Linked DNA regions of Caenorhabditis elegans. The protein of the gene in region 2 purifies or fractionates together with the protein of the main gene of each other region. This does not show direct contact. Each region holds a gene or a part of one and is shown on either strand. Other genes may lie near its edges.

Region 1 (2,795 bases), on a different chromosome or scaffold from region 2:
CAAGTGGGAGACAGCGAAGTATGTGACGAGGAAACTTATTGCCACCAAGTCGAACATTTTTGATACCTTTCGGAGAAATAAGAACAAAATCTATCCATTTTTTCACTTAATGTTGATGAGAAAAAATGAGAAGCCGTTTTCTAAAATTATGGCCTTTTATTGCAATTCTGTGTTCGGACTATTCTGTTCATTAAAAGCAGCGTATTGCTGTGTAGAAGAATGGTAATCACGGTATTCAGATTGGTCGATGACATCCAGGGCCAGCAAGTTCTCGATATTCGTTTACTTTTATTAGGAATACAAAAGAAATTCAAAAAATTTGGGTGGTTATTTTTGTGATAGTGCGGGCTTCCGTAAAGGCATTCGCATCCAATATTCAACTGACCCTTTCAACTCGCGCGGACATTTCGACACATTCTAATATAAAATCATCACGTTTCTTCGAATTGATGTTATTCAACCGTGTATAAAAGACAGCAACATAATTTGATCAACTTTAGAAACAAGTTTATTGTTCAACAAATAACTTTACTTGAGTGGGATGAATCGGGAAGAGTGGGTAGCTCCAATACCTGGTCTTCCGTGCTTGACAGGCTTGTAGGAGATAGCGAACTCTCCGAGATAGAATCCGATCATCTCTGGCTTGATTTCGGTCTGTAACAAAATAATAATAATCATAATGTTTTCGCATTTATTGTAATCGACTCACCTGGTTGAAAACCTTTCCGTTGTAGATTCCGATGACTCCACCAACGAGCTCTGGAAGGATGATCATGTCTCGGAGATGGGTCTTAACGGTGGCTGGCTTCTCGAGAACACCAGCAGCCTTCTTGGCCTTTTGGACCTTAGCGATGAGAGCCAAGTGCTTTCTCTTGAGTCCGCGATCGAGACGTCTGCGCATGCGGCAGGGGAGAAGCTTGGTGAATTGTTCACTGGAAATAAATAATTGTTCTTGGAGATGACCAAAAACCAGACATTGCCGGCAAAATATTGTTTTAAAAAATTACCGGGACATGTCCAAAAGTTGGTCCAAGTCAACTCCTCTGTACATGAACTTGCGGAAAGTTCTCTTCTTCTTCAGCTCAGCGAGATGGGCATCATCTTGAGTAGCCATGTTTAACCCTGAAAAATCGATTACTTTTTTTGTTGCAATATATGGATATTGAAAAGAAAGTAAATAAACATATGGAAGAGAAGTGAAGAAAACTCGTCATGAATTATCAAAAAGAGCACTGACTTACATATCGTAAAATTTAATTAAATAAAATCTGAATTAATGCAACTTCCATTTTATACATTTTTACGATAATTTTTCCATTAGTTTCACATATTTCTCTACAGTAGGAAAAGAAAAATTAGTATTTCTATATTAAAAACAGGTATTAACACCAAAAAACCAGAAAAACCGTGAAAAAAATCGCGAAAAACGGAAAATTTTGTAAAAATTCTACTGACAACCGAAGCTCCGTATCGTTCATCATTGTTGAGTCGCTACTCAGCGCAGGTTGGCTGTTCGCCAGAATTCGGTGGAGCGCGGTTGCAATTCTTATATTTTTATCAATTTTTCGGGCCTGATAAACGGAAATTGGTGAAAAAAAAAGTTTTGGAGCTTCGTAATTTAATTTAAATAATGTTATTCTCAAAATAAAAAATGTATTCAACTGCTGAATACAAATTATTTTCATAAAATGAAGTTTCGACCAGAATTTATTCGACAATAATTAGTTATTTGAAATTCTTGTCGATTTAATTTTGTTTTTTAAGCATTGTTTTCAATTTCGAACTGCAAATAAAGCATAATAGAGTTTGGAGATCTATATTCTCTCCTTTTGACGATTCTACCTTTTAAATATCTTCTTCTTTAGCCTTATCGCAAGCACTATTTTGTCTTCACTTTAATTTTTTCAGAATGCGATTAAACCTACTTCTACTACTTCTATTTTATTTTGCACATGGATCTGTGGTTCCCAATGTAGACCAGAAAATTCTACGCGGGGAGTTCCATGACGAGGGAAAGTTTATGGTGGATTATGAGGATAATTCGCAAAATTTGACCGATTATGCGAGCCGAAGAAGCAGTGATGACGATAAAATAACTCCAGAAGAACAAAAAAGGCGTGGAAATGACAGTACAGAAGTTTCAGAAGATGATGATTCAAGTGATATAAGTGAAGAAAGGTGTGACCATTTAATTTAAAATCATTTTTTCTCACCGGCTTCTTGCGATTTACAAAATTTGGACAGTTCAGACTTATAAAAATGTGGGGAAAATCAGCCGATTATGACAAATTTTTCGACACTGCTACGTCATCACACGAAGATGAAGAAGGGTTTTCAATTTTTGAAATTAGAATGCTAAAACCGCATGGTCTGCTTCTCCCAATTTCAAACTATCCTATTTATTTTTGTTGAGTTACTTAATTTTTTAATCTTCTTTTCCATATTAGTTTCTTCCAATTAAACGCTTTTTGAATGAGGTCGAGTGATGGTCTTCCTGGAACTCTATGAAAAATGACAAAAACAATTATTATTTCAGAGAAAGAGACAGTGTGGATCATCAACATCTCAAATCTCTGACCGCCATCAAACCTGAAAAACATCAACCAGTGGCTGGTGTAATCAACTCTGCATTCAATGACAGGTTTATTTTTACTAATATATTGATAAAAATGAAGCTTTTTTCAGAAAGACATTCTCCTGTCCTCGTATCAAAACTGAACTTTTGACTGGAACGAATGTTGGAAACATATCTCCTGAAGATATAACAATCATTGCTGCAATGGGAGATGCTCTCG
Region 2 (8,632 bases):
TAATATTATGGGAACACGGTTCACTCTGAAATCGACGTTTAAAACGCGCTCCACTGCCAATTTCAAACGCTCCGCCTCTTACAGTTGGATCTCGTTAGGTATTTGGCGGCAAACCCGGGAGGCCCCACGAAAAGGGGAACTGAACGAAAAGGGGAAATTGGCACCGTGCCAACGCATAAAACGCACTTTTTCTCGAAGAAAACGGTACAACGATGCTCCGAAATTAAGCGTCGCGTGTTGTTAAGCGTATCTTCTAGAAGAAAAGTTCGAAAAAAGTCGTGCGTTGAATGAGAAAAAAAGCGTTTTATGCGTTGGCACGGTGCCAATTTTCCCTTTTCGCATTTCCCCTTTTCGTTCAGTTCCCGCTTTCGTGGGGCCTCAAACCCGGAAATTCGAGAGGCCCCACGGAAAGAGGATCTGCGAAAATGGGATCTACGAAAAGTGGAGTTAGCAAAAGGAGATCTGGCATTGTGCCAAACGCACAAAACGTATTTTTTCTCGAAGAGAACGATACAACGATGCTCCGATATTCCGCATCTCGCGTTGTTTAGCGAGTTTTCCAGAAGAAAAATTTCAAATATCAACGTGCGTTGCAGAAGAAAAATTGCATTTTTTTTTCAGATCTCCTTTTCGTTCACCTCATTTTTCGTGGGACCTCAAATTCAAGCGTTTTTAAGCATTTTTTTCGTCTTTTTTGCTTAATTTTCCGCGGGTTTTAATAAGTTTTATGCCGAAAATCGATAATTATTTGGACAAATAATATTTTTAAGCCATCATCTCGACTTCACGTGGAGTCAGAAAGTCCCATTACGCTTTGATCTTCCAAAAATGCGGGAGAAGATGCGCAGACATCTCATCCGATTTCGCATAATTAAGAGCGTGATGACGTCACAATTTTTCTGGAAAAATATTCCCGCATTTTTCGTAGATCAAACCGCAGTGAGACATTCTCACACCGCGTAGATTTAGAAATCATTGAAAACGGCTGAAAATGTAACAAAAAAGACAAAAAATGATTGAAAATCTTTGAATTTTCGCATTTTCCACCAAATACCCAACGAGACCCATCTGTTCGGGGCGGAGCGTTCATATTGAATTGGAAATTTTTCTGCGTCCCAATAATATTTCGAATTTCTAACCAAAGTTCCGGAATCTCGCCGCACAAGCCTCCTTTGAACTATCAAAATAGTCGAATCCATCGATTGGTGGTGGCTTCTGAGCTTGAAATGCACTTTTAACTGGTTGTGGAGTAACCGGTTTTCTCAAAGGTCTCTGTACAGTGACTGGAGTTGGAGTGGGGGCTATGTTCCAAGCGGAAGTAGACGGAACTTGGGGGTTTGGAGGAGCTAAAGGACGTTGTTGAAGGGGAGCTGGCGGACAAACTCCGGCTTTTGGAATTACTCGATAAGTTTGGCGGCCGTGAGCGTTGGGAACATCTATCTGAAAATAAATTAATTAGATATTTACCATAATACGGAATTTTTTCGACATATAACTACGTATTAGCTATAATTTGGCTCTTCTTCTGGCATTTTTTGAGGGTTTTCCAATTTTTTTTTCGATTGAACACCGCAGAAATTCTAGAAAATTACCTATTGCCTATCCATGTTTTTCCAACATTTTTCATTAAAAATTAGTGTGAAAAAATAGAAAATCCCTTGATTTTTCTGAAAATAACGTTGATTTTAGTTGAAAAATTTGAAAATGTACTATAAAATTACCTGGAAAGTGCAAATCAGTGATTTGCATCTTACAATTAATTTTGAAGCACATTTTCAAATGTTTCAACTGAAATCAACGTTTTTTTCAGATAAATCAAGTGAATTTCTATATTTTTACACTAGTTTTTAAAGAAAAATGTTGGGAAAATATGGTGCAATAGGAAATTTTTAGACTTTCCGAAAATAATGCTTCATAAAGTCGATTAAAGTTTGAAAATCCTCAAAAATTGCGAAAAAAGAGCCAAACTTTGAAAAAATCTGAAATTTCCGCAGCTTGAATATAGTTTTTTTTTGAATTATCACATATTTTGGCTGTTTATCAGTTATTTTAAGCAAATTGAATGCCCAGCGACTAAAAAAGCGCCTAAATCAGCGAAAAACTTCCCAAAAATGTTAAAAAAAAAGGGAAAATTCAATAAAACTGAATTCGAAAACGACTGCGAAAACGACAAGCTGACGAAATTTTAAATTTCAACAAAATTTTTGACGTTTTTCTCAAAATTTCAATACCGCAATATCATGATATTCATCAGTAGCCAACGCGGCTCTCCAACAGACTCCTCTCTCATTCGGCGCTTGCTCTCGTGCAACAAATTTGACACGTTGGCCCGGCTTAAACATTTCAGTCAACTTCTCAACGTCAGGACGAACAGTGGCTCGAGTCACGAATACATTGGTTGTCAAAGGCTTAGTATAGCCTGGAATCTGAATTTTGTAGTCTTAATAGTTAATTTCGTATTAAAATTGCTCGTTATTCCACGTTTCCACAAACCTTGGCAAGAGTTGGCGGATTTTTGGTATATTTCCAGTCAACGAACATATACTGAGCTTTATCATCGGGAATATTGATAACTGCACCCTCAGCAACCAACATTCGTCCTTGTTTGATAAATTTAAGCTCAGTGCCAACCCAAGCGAGTTCATAGTTTGCCATTTGTGATAGCTTATCGCCAACTTCAATATCTACCTGAAACATCGGGTTTTATTAAAGTTTTCCTGGAAATAAGCTTACAGTTGTAGCTTTTCTAGCATTGAATTGAACTATATCGTCATGTTTATATCCACGAGTGAGCAATTCCTTCTTAAAAAGAACACCTTTTCCATCATAGCGAACCATCATCATATCGTGTGAAACAGCGACGACGGAACCTTGCTTATGAAGGATTGTAGCCATTTTGTAGCTCTGATATTAATAAAAGATGATATTCAAAGAAGAGGCTCCACGAGAAGAGGATCGGCATAAAGTGGATCTAGCAGTGTTTTAATAAAAATATCTCTTAATTTTTTAGTAAAAATAGTGTTTTTTCGATTTTCCGTAAAATCTAAAATTAAAAACCTTCAGTTTCTCTGCCCTTAAATGTACTGGCAATTTCCAAATAAATTTCGTGGGACCTCTCGAAAACATGCAGTGAGACAGAAATATGAAACAAAGACTCTCAACAAGTAACCTGAATATGTTTTGAAAAAACAGTAGTGATATGGTCAACAATTTTATAATACCAAACAAAACAGATTTGTGCATGGATTTAATTGTATCCAAGAGCCTCGATGATCTTCTGGTATTGAGCGATCTTTGGGGCGGCATTCTTCTTTGCTTGAACGGCGAGCTTGTCCATCTTCTTTTTCTGTTCGAAGTAGGCGGCTCCCTTCACCTTTCTCTTAGCCTCGAGCTTGGCAACAACATCCTGGAATTGCCATCCGACCTCGTGCGATAAGCGTCCAACTGAAAATTAAATAATCGTTGTGATCAAAAAAATTATAATAACTCACCGACGCAGAACTTTCTTCTTGGTTGAAGTCGGAATCTGCTGGCTGATGGGGCATGGAGAGACTTGGTCTTCTGGTATTTGGCTGGAACTCCTTCGTAGGCGCGGAGGTTCTTGAGAGCCTCGTTTCCGCGGTTGGTCTTGTGTGGGAGCATTCCTGAATAGAGAATTTATTAATTTAAGTACAGATAATGTTTAAAATCACTCACCTCTGACGGTACGCCAGAAGATCTTTCCTGGAGCACGGTAATGGAAGGCTCCACGGGCTGGGTTGATGTTACAACGCTTGCGGAGGAAGCTCATGTACTTCAGCTTGGAACGGTGGAAGTTTCCGGAGATGACGATCTCTTCAGCTCTGAGGACGACAACCTTGTCTCCTTGGAGAAGCTTCTTTGCAACGATGGAAGCCAACCGACCGAGAAGGTGGTTCTTTCCGTCAATGATGATTGCTCTGTTCGACAGACCCATCGTTTACCCTGAAATAAATACTGATAAGAAGGGGAAAGTTTAGAAATACACGAGAGTAAAGGAAGAGAGATAAATCGAAGCGAGAGAACGCGCATAACAATAAATATATGAAAACTATTTCGAGAATTTATTTGGCAAGAATCCCGCACAAATTCTTCTAATATTTACATATTTCAGTAATCTTAATTTTGTCTATTTCTCAACACATTTTTCAAATAGAATTCTCCGGCTTTGTACGAAGAGCGAACAAGAGGGCCAGATGCAACGTAAAGGAATCCCAGTTTTTTCGAATATTCTGCCCACTGGTCGAATTTCTCGGGGGTCACCCATTCTTTGACAAGCAAATGACGTTTTGTCGGCTGCATGTATTGACCGAAAGTGACAACGTCAACATTGCTAGCTCGAAGATCGGCCAAGCACTGCTTTATCTCGTCTTCAGCTTCGCCCAGTCCTAGCATAATCGATGTCTTCGTGATTAGCTTTGGGCTGACTTCCTTTGCGTATCGAAGAGCTTAAAAAATATTCAATAATATTTACGAGATTCTGAAAAAAAAAAAAGCTGCTTACCGTCCAAAGACTGCCGATATTTAGCTCGTGGATCTCTGACCCATGGAGTCAGTCTTTCAACCGTTTCAATGTTATGTGCATATACATCGAGTCCACTGGTAGCCATTTTCTCCACACTGATCTTATCTCCAGCGAAATCGGGCAATAAGCATTCGATGAGAAGTTCAGGCTTCTTGAGCTTCATCAGCTGTACTGTCTTGCGAAGATGATCGGCTCCACCGTCTGGCAAATCATCCCTGAAAATTACTTTGATTAAAAGCTCAAGATACGAATAAGTTACCTGTCAACTGATGTTAAAACAATGTATTCGACACCCCATGAAGCAACGGCGGTCGACGTATTTTCCGGTTCCATAGGATCCAATGGTGGAGGAGCTCGAGCAGTTTTGACCGAACAGAATTTACAACCCCGAGTGCAGGTATCTCCCATCAACATGATTGTCGCTGTTGCTAGACTGTCATCTGATCCTCCCCAGCATTCTCCAAGATTTGGGCACCGTGCTTCCTGACAAACAGTCGCTAGTTTGAGATGTTTCAACTGCTTTTTTAGACGACTGACATTTTCGTTTTCCGATGGAAGAATCTGAAAACAATTGTGATGAGGGGCAAAAAATTGATAGGCTATACCTTTTCTTTCTTGAGCCATGGTGGAAGTCGCAAACGTCTGTCCCCTTTCTCCAGCTTCAGTTTTCCTTCGTACTTCTCAACAGCCTCTGCCACGGATGCTAAAATTAATAATTATTTGATTATGAAACAATATTGTTTGAGTTTTACCTGATGAAATAAAATCCTGAAGCGATGGTCCATCTTTGACGAGAACTTGCGGTTTTTTCTTTGTGGCTGCAAGTCCACGGACCCATACCCGAGCTAGCATGCTTAAACAATCTACCGGTAATAATTAAACTCCTTGTGTTGAAAATCAAGAGGGACCCCCTACAACTGAAATTCTGGTTGAGAAATAGACAAATTTGGATTTTGGGAACATTTTTCCACTTTTCCTACCTAGTTTCTGACAAATCTCGCAGAATAAGAACTACAATCGATAATTAGCACTATTAATCGTTTAAAAATTAAAAATTCAATCAATTTTATGCAAAAAATCGCGCAAAAACGTGAAAAATCAGGCGAAAATCGTGAAAAAATTTTAGGATAGCGGAAAAAGCCATGCGTTGAGGTTCGATGGGTCTCGCCACGATACGCAATCAGACGTGACGGTGTATGCACAGAAAAATCCACCGTAGTCCGCAAGGCCATTCGCAACATTTTTTTTCACTTCAACAATCAAATTTAACTCATTTTTCCAGCAGAATCTTGGGAATTTTCATAAAAACCTTAATAGTGAGGTCCCTTTTGACTTTTTACGTGGTTTATTCGTGATTTTGATCATAACTAGAGTTCTAAAAAGGATAAAACGCTTTTGAAACGGAAAAATAGTTTAAATTGGCTTTCACGTTACCATAATGAGCAAAATAAACAGAAATCCGAAAAAAAATACATGTTTATTATGAGACAAAAGTTCACCAGGAATGGCAAGAACCGAAATTTGTAAAATACAGGGGTCAAACAAACTAAAGGCAGTGTCTAAAGAATGCGAAAAATATTTTTGATTAATATAATCAATGATTATGCAGCTTCACATTTCGTGGAGACGGAGCTGGGGTGTACAGAGCTGTTGGCTTCACGTGCTGGAGATAAACGTTGACAAGTACGAGGCAAAGGCAGAGAACAATTGGTCCTATGATTGCGCCCTGAAAATATATTTAAATGAGGTACTTTTTTAGTAGAAGAAGTTAAATACACAAACCTGCAATCCCAACCAGTACATTCCACCAATGATAGCCAAACCGGTCACATATGGATGAGATCCCTTAACTTCCCGGTAAAAAGTAGCATCTGCGAACATTACAGGAGCAAATGAAGCGACTGTGAATACAAGAGCAGCTGCTCCTTCTCCTCGAACCAGCCAGAGTTCGACGATTCCGAAGATTGCGACGATGTAGGGAGGCATAATTGGAATAGCAGCGAATACTGTGGCAGCCACTGGAAAAATGGGACTTAGTAAAATTAATTAAATTTTAAAATCAACTCACTTGATGGAACAAATACAATGTTCAAATCGAAAAGACTGTGCACAAAATAAGTGTAGAGACCGTAGAAAACAGCCATTTTTGCAGAAAGAACGAATACTCCGCTGAAAAAAGGATTTTTTAATTAACTTTTAAATAATAATTCCCATTAAAATATAGAAAATGGGGCGAAACTACTCAAAATGTATGGATTTTTCAATTTTCCAACAAACCCGGGCAAAGTCATTACTTCATTTTTCCCATACAAATGGGACTATTTTTGCCGAATTTTCTGAAATTTTTCCCCAAAAACATGGAAAATAGGCCAATTTTGGAGGTTTTTCTACGGAAAATTCGATAAAACCCAGAGATTAACCTAAAATTTAATTATTTAAATTGTTCGTAAAAAAGCTATTTTTCAGGACTTTACAGTCGATTTTCTAAATTTTTAAGCCTAAAAACGTACAAAATCGCATGTTCTATCGCTACAGTAATATGATGCTGATTTCCTGCTGACGAGCCATCGGCTGTAGTGACTGCTGAGAGATCAGAAGCCCATTGAAGAGGAAGCCAGCGAGTACGAGAAGCCGAGAGAAGATAATATACCATTGTAAGGAAGACAATCTGAAATTCACTTTATATCGATTTTCAAATAATCTAGAGAAATTATTCAGTACCATCTCGATAAATGTGTTGAGCAAATCCATTCCAAAGCTTAAAATAATTCCGGCGAGAGAGACCAAAAGTGAAGAGAAGATTGACACATTTACGGCAAGAATTGCTCCAATAGATTGGGCGATCTGAAATTTTTTTAAAATTAAAATTAGTTTTTTTAATTGAGAAAAAAGCCTTCAAACCCCCATAAGAGTGTCCAAATTCTCCTTGACAATCAGTGTTAGCTCGTCTTTCAGTGCTGTCAAATCAGTGACCCCCTTCAATTGAGTCCAGACATCACCGCGTGGCTCCTGATTTACTGCTGGAACTTTTTTCCAAATTTTTTTATTTAATTAAAAAAATTTTGAAAAAACCCACCAACTGTGAAATTATTATTTCTCTCTTCCCACATATTGTAGAGTTTATCAACGACTTGCTTAACCTGCTCCTCGAGCATATCGGCTCTTTTTGTGTCTTTTGCGTTCGCCAGGGATCTCACATTGGAGGCCAACCAAGTACGGCCTTGTTCGTAAGCCTGAAAATTGCAAAATTATTGTTTTTTTGTTGGAAATGTCGATTTAAAAAATTATTTTTCGGAAAATTGATTTTTTTTACGAAAAAGTGATTTAATTCGGATATATGCATTTTACTTTAAAAATTGTTTTTAAATAAAAATAAGCTTTTTTTCCTGAAAAATTGATTTATTTTTGGAAAAAAAAATATTTTTTTAAATAACTTTTTACAGAAATTTTGTTTTCCGATGTATTCATATGTTCCTTTCAAAATAAGGAAAATTCGCTTTTTTCCAGAAAAATTGAATTTTTTAAATAAAAAAAAATATTTTAAAATTTTTTTTCTCGATTTTCTCTGCAAAAACAGCGAAAAAAAACTACTAAGAATTAAAAAACTCTAAGAATTAAAAAAAAACAGCACCTGCTGAACATAATCATCAATATCAATATTATTCTCTTCCAACTGATCCTCCGTATAATCCATCGCCGCGGCAAGCCAATCCGGACGAGAATTCACCACATTCGATGTAAGTCTGACAAGATGAACCGTTTCTCCATGCAGTTGGAATCCAAAGAAGAATACGGAAAAGATTGCAGAAAATGCGAGAAGAGCCATAACTATTACAGATGACAATACATCCATCTTATCATGTAGTGTATCAACAATATATTTATCCGATGAGAACAACATTTTCACAAATTGTCGTAATGGCCCGGCTACGGTAATCTCCACGATTTTTGTGACTGATGGTGACATCTTTTGCCAAGTGGAATCCAGGAAATTATGGATAGCGGCAGTGATTCCAAGTTGTTCGGCAGTTCTGGAGATTACAGCCAATACAAATGGAATTGCGAGAAGAATCAGGGCTCCATCATGAC

The links. The genes of interacting proteins can lie anywhere in the genome.
Region 1: the proteins of rpl-13A (region 2) and rps-15 fractionate together in Caenorhabditis elegans (co-fractionation; one large-scale study listed by BioGRID). This does not show direct contact.

What each region holds. Positions count from the first base shown.
Region 1 is NC_003279.8:8,815,072-8,817,866, forward strand, and holds rps-15 (Small ribosomal subunit protein uS19), read right to left. Parts: upstream 1,123-2,795; 5' UTR 1,115-1,122; coding exon 1,008-1,114; intron 933-1,007; coding exon 710-932; intron 655-709; coding exon 529-654; 3' UTR 501-528; downstream 1-500. Other genes in the region: F36A2.9 (Lipase_GDSL domain-containing protein), read left to right, coding at 1,910-2,178, 2,537-2,641, 2,686-2,795. UniProt on the Caenorhabditis elegans protein: Negatively regulates lifespan.
Region 2 is NC_003281.10:3,499,642-3,508,273, forward strand, and holds rpl-13A (Large ribosomal subunit protein uL13), read right to left. Parts: upstream 3,964-8,632; 5' UTR 3,956-3,963; coding exon 3,697-3,955; intron 3,645-3,696; coding exon 3,492-3,644; intron 3,445-3,491; coding exon 3,248-3,444; 3' UTR 3,200-3,247; downstream 1-3,199. Other genes in the region: M01F1.8 (VWFD domain-containing protein), read right to left, coding at 1,140-1,440, 2,232-2,426, 2,494-2,688, 2,734-2,895; lias-1 (Lipoyl synthase, mitochondrial), read right to left, coding at 4,138-4,466, 4,523-4,758, 4,803-5,104, 5,149-5,246, 5,296-5,395; M01F1.4 (Transmembrane protein 245), read right to left, coding at 6,138-6,269, 6,326-6,561, 6,612-6,712, 7,054-7,211, 7,265-7,387, 7,445-7,563, 7,620-7,776, 8,175-8,632.